Macaca mulatta: one gene and its partner. The protein of the gene in region 2 purifies or fractionates together with the protein of the main gene of each other region. This does not show direct contact. Links are inferred from orthologs where the notes say so. Each region holds a gene or a part of one and is shown on either strand. Other genes may lie near its edges.

Region 1 (3,912 bases), on a different chromosome or scaffold from region 2:
CTCATTACCCCCAACAGAGTTAAAATCTCTTTTTAGTCAACATTCAGTGTTCATATAATTAAGACTATGTAAATCCTATTCACAACTCTCATAAGTTTTCAGTTCTCAGTTTTCCTTACTTTTCATTTCCCTGCAGTTAATAATGATTTGCTTAGTTTTCTATGTACTTACCTAATTTCATCAAAGAGCTGCTATTCCAATTCCTCACAATCTGATGTTTAAAGGCATACGATTTAGTCAAAACCTTGTTCACAGAAATATTGTCCCTAGGCCAGGCACGGTGGCTGACACCTGTGATGCCAGCACTTTGGGAGACCAAGGCGGGTGGATCACCTGAGGTCAGGAGTTCGAGACTAACCTGGCCAACATGGTGAAACCCCTTCTCTACTAAAAATCCAAAAATTAGCCTGTAATCCCAGCTACTCGGGAGGCTAAGGCACGAGAATTGCTTGAACCCAGGAGGTGGAGGTTGCAGTGAGCAGAGATTGCAGCACTGCACTCCAGCCTGGACAACAGAGCAAGACTCCGTCTCAAAAAAAAAAAAGAAGAAAAAGAAAGAAAGAAAAAAAGAAATGTTGTCCCCAATAGTGAAAAAGTCAAAACAAACCTCAAAAAGAATATGGCTGATTAATAAGTATTGATACATATACAAAACTGGGCCTTCAATTTTGGTCATTATATCTACCTGTAACTCTATATTATTTTAGAATGAGCATGCACTTTTGTAATCAGAACATAAGAACATTCGTAAAGTAACAGGAGAAAAGTAACCTGAATCATATTAGGTTGTTGCAAAAGTAATTCCGGTTTTTTTGCCACTACTTTTAATGGCAAAAGCCGCAATTATTTTTGCGCCAACCTATTACTATTCTTTTTTTTTTTTGCAGTTATTTATATGACCAATTGGATTTTAAAAATTTATTTCTATTTATTATTATTATTTTTTTGAGACAGAGTCTCGCTCTGTCGCCCAGGCTGGAGTGCACTTGCGCGATCTCGGCTCACTGCAAGCTCCGCCTCCCGGGTTCACGCCATTCTCCCGCCTCAGCTTCCTGAGTAACTGGGACTACAGGTGCCCGCCACCGCGCCTGGTAATTTTTTGTATTTTTAGTAGAGACGGGGTTTCACCGTGTTAGCCAGGATGGTTTCGATCTCCTGACCTCGTGATCCGCCCGCCTCGGCCTCCCGAAGTGCTGGGATTACAGGCGTGAGCCACCGCGCCCGGCCCAATCGGATTTTTAAAAACAATTTTATTTAGTTGCTGGGAACAAGTCTGATTTTCTTTTCTCCTCAGCTATACAAGGTTGGCTTGTAGGGCAATCATCTTAGAGATGTCTGAAGAGATTCAACTTTGAAAGAAGGAAAACCGTAAGTGTCATACTTCTAAAGGAAAACGTTTTCAGAAAATGAGTGAAAAGGAGTGACTATAAAGGAAGCATTCGCTTATCTCAAAGCAAATACTAAATTACAGATTCCTCTCAGCACTCTACTGATGAAAAATTTAAAAATAAATAAATAAACTACAGACAGTAACATGCTTCAATTTCATCCCGACAGCTTCAGGATGACGCAGTCTCCAATGGGACAAACCCAGGGAGGCGTGACTCGGCCATAGCGCGTTCTGGGAAGGCCGCTTAACCAATCAGCGCCTTGGTTTCCAGGGGTCAGGGCTCCATAAAAATGCCGCCCTTTCCGCTCCTACAGTGGTGTGATGCAGAAACGCCGCGACAGAATGGGGTTACCTACATTAACAGCGCGCTGCCTTCAAGGCTCCTAAATGGACTTTCACAAACACCCTCCATCAGGCCAGGCCCGCGGGTGTGACGGGGGCAGACGCAGGCTGCCTCCACACCTCTGGACTCTGTATCAGGGCGCATATGCTGACAGCGTGGCTAACTTTCTGGGGGCCGGGGACGTCTGGGAGAAGCAGAATGAAACAGAAAATCGATTCCCTAGGTCCCAGGAGATGAAACGCCACCTTTGCGGGTTCGCGAGTCCTTAGGATCCAAGCTGGGTTCCCCAGGGCCGGGGCCGCTCGCCCCACATCCTCATTCCCGTCCCCGTCCCCACCCCACCGCCCGCTTTGCCCCAGGCCCAGGCGGGAACCACGCACCGAAACGAGCGGGACGCGCAGGCGATCCCCCTGCAGCCGGTTGAAAGCGGGGAACGTGCTCCAAGCGAGGAACCCGCCGCTCTCGGGTCCCAGCAGGGCCACGAGCAGCACCTGGTGTTGGAAGCGCACGGTCGGCTGCTCCTCGTAGCTGCTCCTCTTCAGCCAAAACCCTGAATTAAAGAAGGTGGGGAGGCCGTCAGGGAGGCCGGCCCCGGCCGAGCGCGCCCGGGGAGTCGCGTGACACAGCGGCTGGGGCAGGCTCACCGTGGCTCCGGAAGGCCACCAGCAACGGCGGGATGTACGTGAGCGCAGCGGCCAGCAGCAGGAACAGCGCGGCTTTGGAGCAGAGTCCCGCGCGGTAGCTGCGCTCGACCGGGTGAGAGAAGAGATCGTAGAGCGCCATGAGCACCGCGCGCCGGCACGCCGCGAGCCGGAGGACCAAGTTTGGCTTCTCCTGGTTGCCATCGCCTCGGTCTCCACGGCAACCGACGGCTCCCGGAAAGGAGCCAATAGCAAGGCCAGACCGAAAGGAGCCAGCGGCGAGGGCGGGGTTAGCGGGCGTGGCGCCGCCGGGGACTGCCGGCCTAGCTTTTCAAGCTGTGTCCCTTTGCGTAAAGGCTGGGCGGCGATAGAACGTTTCCGTGGACCAAAGTCGTGGCTGTTGTCTGTGTTAACATTTGTGTAAAATAAGATGCCCATAAAAGTTGACTTGAACACTGAGGAGGAAAAATTAAATATTTAAATTTGAACTGACATGGACACAAACAATGGTCACCAAGTTCCGAAACAGGTTGTGGGAGCCCCTTGAGGCGTTCATCCAGCGCTGTTTCGCAGAAATCTCTATTTCGTTCTATTCCTATACGTTAGTTATTGAAAAACAACAATCACAAAAACAAGTTGACCTTTTTGTGTTCCTTGAGCCCAGCCACGAAGGGCCCTCGTGACTGGGCCTCATGTCAGACAACATGTTACAAAAAGAGCTAGGATCCCAGACCACCCAAAGCTTCATGACACCTCTTCTCATCTGGGCACTGACTGAAGAGTGGCCGGCTCTGGAGCTCAGGCTCTTGCTTCCCAGTCTGGAGGTGAATCCTCCATAGTCTGATGAGTGTAAATATATATATGTCTTTTTCCTTCTCCTCTTCCCATTGCAATTTGCTTATATCAATCTGCTTATTATATTAATTTGCTTATTATAATATCTGCATTGCCATTTACGTGGGATAAAGCTTGCTTACCCTTAAAGGTATTGTGTGTGTGCCTTTTCTTCTCCCCTCGCGCTCCTGCACACAACAAACACCTGCTTTTGTGTCATCTGTTAATCCCCAGTGTAGTTCCTACTGAAATCCACTCAGTCACAAGCCTGGCCGCGGTCCTGGACCTGGTCCTGGGCTAAGACCAAAGCCAGGTGTCTTTGCTCCCAGATTTTCTCTTGCTTCCACTATGCTCCAATGCAAGACAAGACACGGAAACACAAATCCCCTGGCTCTTGGAGGGATAGAGTGGAATATTACAAAGCTCTGATGCACTTTGTTAACCCTGTGTTGGGTACAAGCTCAGCGGCGAGTTTTATAGGAAGCTGTGGTCCTCCCCAGAGATCACTGGCATATTGCTTAATTGAATGCTTACACCCCCCACCGCCCCCAACCATATTTCGAACATGGTAGAAGGACTTTAAAAAAAACAACTATGGTCCACAGCCAAGTTCTTCATCAAATGGCCCTGAATGGCTGGGCGCAGTGGCACATGCCTGTAATCTCAACACTTTGGGAGGCCAAGTTGGGCCGATCACCTGAGGT
Region 2 (3,812 bases):
AACTATGTGTATAATGGAGACTTATTCTCACAAGTATTTATAAAGCCATGTGTAAGAGAGTCTGCAAGGTATTTTAGGGAGTACAAAGATGAATAAAGGGCTACTTATTGCTAAGTACATTTTGAAATCCATGAATGTAACTGATATGCTGGTCAGATAATATTGTCTGTGGTTAGAGACTTTGGCAGCAGATAGGTTCAAATCACGGCTGTCCCACTTAGGAGCTGTGCGGCACTGGCCAATTACTTAACCTTTCTGAGCTGTAGTTTCCTCCTCTGTAATATGGTGATAATACCTTTATGTAACAACCCTCTATCAGATTTTTTTTTTTTTTTTTTTTTTTTGAGATGGAGTCTTGCTCTGTCTCCAGGCTGGAGTGCAGTGGCAATATCTCTGGTCACTGCAACCTCCGACTCTGTGGTTCAAGTGATTCTCCTGCCTCAGCCTCCTGAGTAGCTAGGATTACAGGCATGTGCCACCACATCCAGCTAATTTTTGTATTTTTAGTAAAGACAGGGTTTCACCCTGTTGGCCAGGATGGTCTCAATCTCCTGACCTCGTGATCCACCCACCTTGGCCTCCCAAAGTGCTGGTATTACAGGCGTGAGCCACCATGCCCAGCCTGCCTCCATCAGTTTTAAGTGACAGGTGCCCAGTTCATACTGACTGAAGCAAAAAGGGGAATTTATTGGTTCAAGTTCAGAGTAATCCACATACAGCTAGTTCATGGTTCCTGGTTCCAGTGTGGTCAGGGATCTTTTTGTTTTCGTGTCTCAGCTCCTCTTCTTTGGGTTGGCTTCATTCTCAGGGAGGTTCTCCTCAAGAGATGGCAAAGATGGGCACTAGCAATCCAGGCTGATGTCACTGCAGCAAGTCCAGTGGGGAGAAAGCCTCTTTCCTCCTCTTTTCTTTTCTTCTTTCTTTCTCTTTCTTTCTTTCTTTCTTTCTTTCTTTCTTTCTTTCTTTCTTTCTTTCTTTCTTTCTTTCTTTCTTTCTGTCTTTCTGTCTTTCTGTCTTTCTGTCTTTCTTTCTCTTTCTTTCTCTCTCTTTCTCTCTTTCTCTCTCTCTCTCTTTCTTTCTTTTTTTTTTTTTTTTGAGACGAAGTTTAGTTCTTGTTGCCCAGGCCGGAGTGCAGTGGCGCCATCTCGGCTCTCCCCAACCTCTACCTCCTGGGTTCAAGCTATTCTCTTGCCTCAGCCTCCTGAGTAGCTGGGGTTACAGGCATGCGGCACCACGCCCAGCTAATTTTGTATTTTTAGTAGAGATGGGGTTTCTCCATGTTGGTCAGGCTGGTCTTAAACTCCCGACTTCAGGTGATCTGCCCACCTCAGCCTCCCAAAGTGCTGGGATTCCAGGCATGAGCCACCAGGCCCGGCCCCTCCTCTTTCTCAAAATAGATCCGGGCAGACTTTCATTGGTTCAGTTTGGGTCATGTGCTCCTTTCTGAACCAATCCCTATGACTGGGGCAATGGGCAGCTCTTATTGGCTAGGCTCAGGTGATGGGTGCACCTCTGGATTAGGGCCAGTCCCTTCTGGTCCGCTGAACTGGGAATGGAGAGTGGTGACTCTGCAAGGGAAAATGGGAGTGCAGTTACCACCTTTGCAGTACTCTTTTGAGGATAACACGAGATGGTGTGTTGCAAGCAAGTTATCTCTGTGCCTCGAACGTGGAAAGCCCTCAATAAGTGGCTAGCTGCTGCTTTTATTATTATATCGGTTGAGAAAAACAGGTGATGAACAAAGGTACCTTTGATAGCACCTGTATAAAATGCACTGGCTGGAGAGGAGTGAGACTGACAGGACTGGCAGATGTCACCGGGCGACAGGCCCATGAGGGGTTATTAGGAGTTTCTCTTCTCCTTGGATCTGTCTGTCGAAATGGACAAAGACAATGGACAAATACAAAGAAAAAACAGCACAGGTAGAATGTGAAACTTCTTAAGAGAACCTCAGGTTGTATTGTGATTGCATCTGTTACCTGCTGTTCTTGGTGGAATAGAACTGAATGGTGGCTATGCTGACCATGTGATCTTTCCCTCCTAGGTTCTCCTCAGTGAACTGGCAGTACCAGTGTGGGCTTACCTGTGAGCACAAGGCCGACCTTCTCCCTATCAGTGCATCTGTCCAGTTTATTAAAATTCCTGCACAGTTACCCCGCCCCCTGACAAGGTACTCCAGTTGGTCACCTAGTGGACATTAGGAAGCAGAAAAATATATATTTGAAAATTGGAAGTTTATTCCTTTAATCAAGTTCTGATACTTTTTCACTTGTAGTTTTTGTAATCCTCTAAAATGTTTTCTAGATTCCAGATCAATTATACAGAGTATGACTGCAACAGAAATGAGGTGTGTTGGCCGCAGCTTCTATATCCATGGACTCAGTATTATCAAGGTAGGGTGAAACAGATTTCTATGACCAATTATGTTATGTCAGTTTTAAAAACAATTTAAAATGATGTCTAAATGTTACAGAAAGCGTAAAACATATAGAAACTTAAAAAAATTTACAGATAATATTGCCACTTGGAAGTGATCACCATTACTGTTGAGGCTTAGTTTATTTCTACCTACACTGTTTTTTTTTAGACAGAGTCTTTCTGTGTCACCCTGGCTGGAGTGCAGTGGCAGAATCTCAGCTCACTGCAACCATTGCCTCCTGGGTTCAGATGATTCTCATGCCTCAGCCTCTGGAGTAGCTGGGATTACAGCACCAACACACCGGGCTATTTTTGTATTTTTAGTAGAGACGGGGTTTCACCATGTTGGCCAGGCTGATCTCGAACTAGCTTCAAGTGATCTGCCTTCCTTGGCCTCCCAAAGTGTTAGGATTGCAAGAGTGAGCCACCACGCCCAGCCTACACTGTTATCACAAGAGTTAAGAAATACTGCTGCTTAATTTTGTCCATTGTTTTTCAGGGGAGCCGCATTCTCAATGTGTTGCCAAGGGCTTACTGTTGCTGTTGTTCCTCACATTGGCCATGTTTCTCAGCAACCCCTGGACCAGAATATGCAAAGCCTATAGTTAGACAACCACCTGGCCTTTTTTTTTTTTTTTTTTTTGAGATGGAGTTTTGCTCTTGTTGCCTAGGCTGGAGTGCAATGGCGTGATCTCAGCTCACCGCAACCTCCTCCTCCTGGGTTCAAGCGATTCTCCTGCCTCAGCCTCCGGAGAGTTGGGATTACAGGCACGTACCACCATGCCTGGCTAATTTTGTATTTTTAGTAGAGACAGGGTTCCACCATATTGGCCAGGCTGCTCTCGAACTCCTGACCTTGTGATCCACCCATCTCAGCCTCCTAAAGTGCTGAGATTACTGGCATGAGTCACCGCACCTGGCCTTTTTTGTTTTTGTTTTTGTTTTTTTTGAGACGGGGTCTCACTCTGTCACCCAGGCTGGAGTGCAGTGCACAATCTCAGCTCACTGCAATCTCTGCCTCCCAAGCAATCTTCCCACCTCAGCCTCTGGTGTAGCTGGGACTACAGATTCTCCACCACGCCTGGCTGTATTTTTGGTAAAGACGGGGTTTCGCCATGTTGTCCAGGCTGGTCTGTAACTCCTGAGCTCAAATGATCTGCCCACCTCGGCCTCCCAAAGTGCTGGGATCACAGATGTGAGCCACTGTGTCCGGTCCATCTGACTTCTCAAAGACTTTAGACCTTGACTTCAGTGATTTGTTGTAGTCTTGTATGCTTCTCTATAAAATTTTAATAAATGAAATGTCTTATTTTTGTAGAAAATTTTTATTAAGTGCCCTGTGACTTTAATTCATATATGTAGCTATCTGATGCAGAATGAATATTCTCATCACT

Evidence for each region.
Region 1: the proteins of TCTN2 (region 2) and TMEM231 purify together in Homo sapiens (affinity purification with mass spectrometry; 3 studies listed by BioGRID and IntAct, counting the BioPlex papers as one, with this or other methods). This does not show direct contact. The link is inferred for Macaca mulatta from reciprocal best matches to the Homo sapiens genes TCTN2 and TMEM231.

Annotation. Positions count from the first base shown.
Region 1 is NC_133425.1:70,906,767-70,910,678, forward strand, and holds the start of TMEM231 (transmembrane protein 231), read right to left. Parts: upstream 2,517-3,912; coding exon 2,378-2,516; coding exon of another isoform or gene 2,284-2,377; coding exon 2,114-2,283; intron 1-2,113. UniProt on the Homo sapiens protein: Transmembrane component of the tectonic-like complex, a complex localized at the transition zone of primary cilia and acting as a barrier that prevents diffusion of transmembrane proteins between the cilia and plasma membranes.
Region 2 is NC_133416.1:131,132,227-131,136,038, forward strand, and holds the end of TCTN2 (tectonic-2), read left to right. Parts: intron 1-2,044; coding exon 2,045-2,170; intron 2,171-2,304; coding exon 2,305-2,393; intron 2,394-2,917; coding exon 2,918-3,027; 3' UTR 3,028-3,740; downstream 3,741-3,812.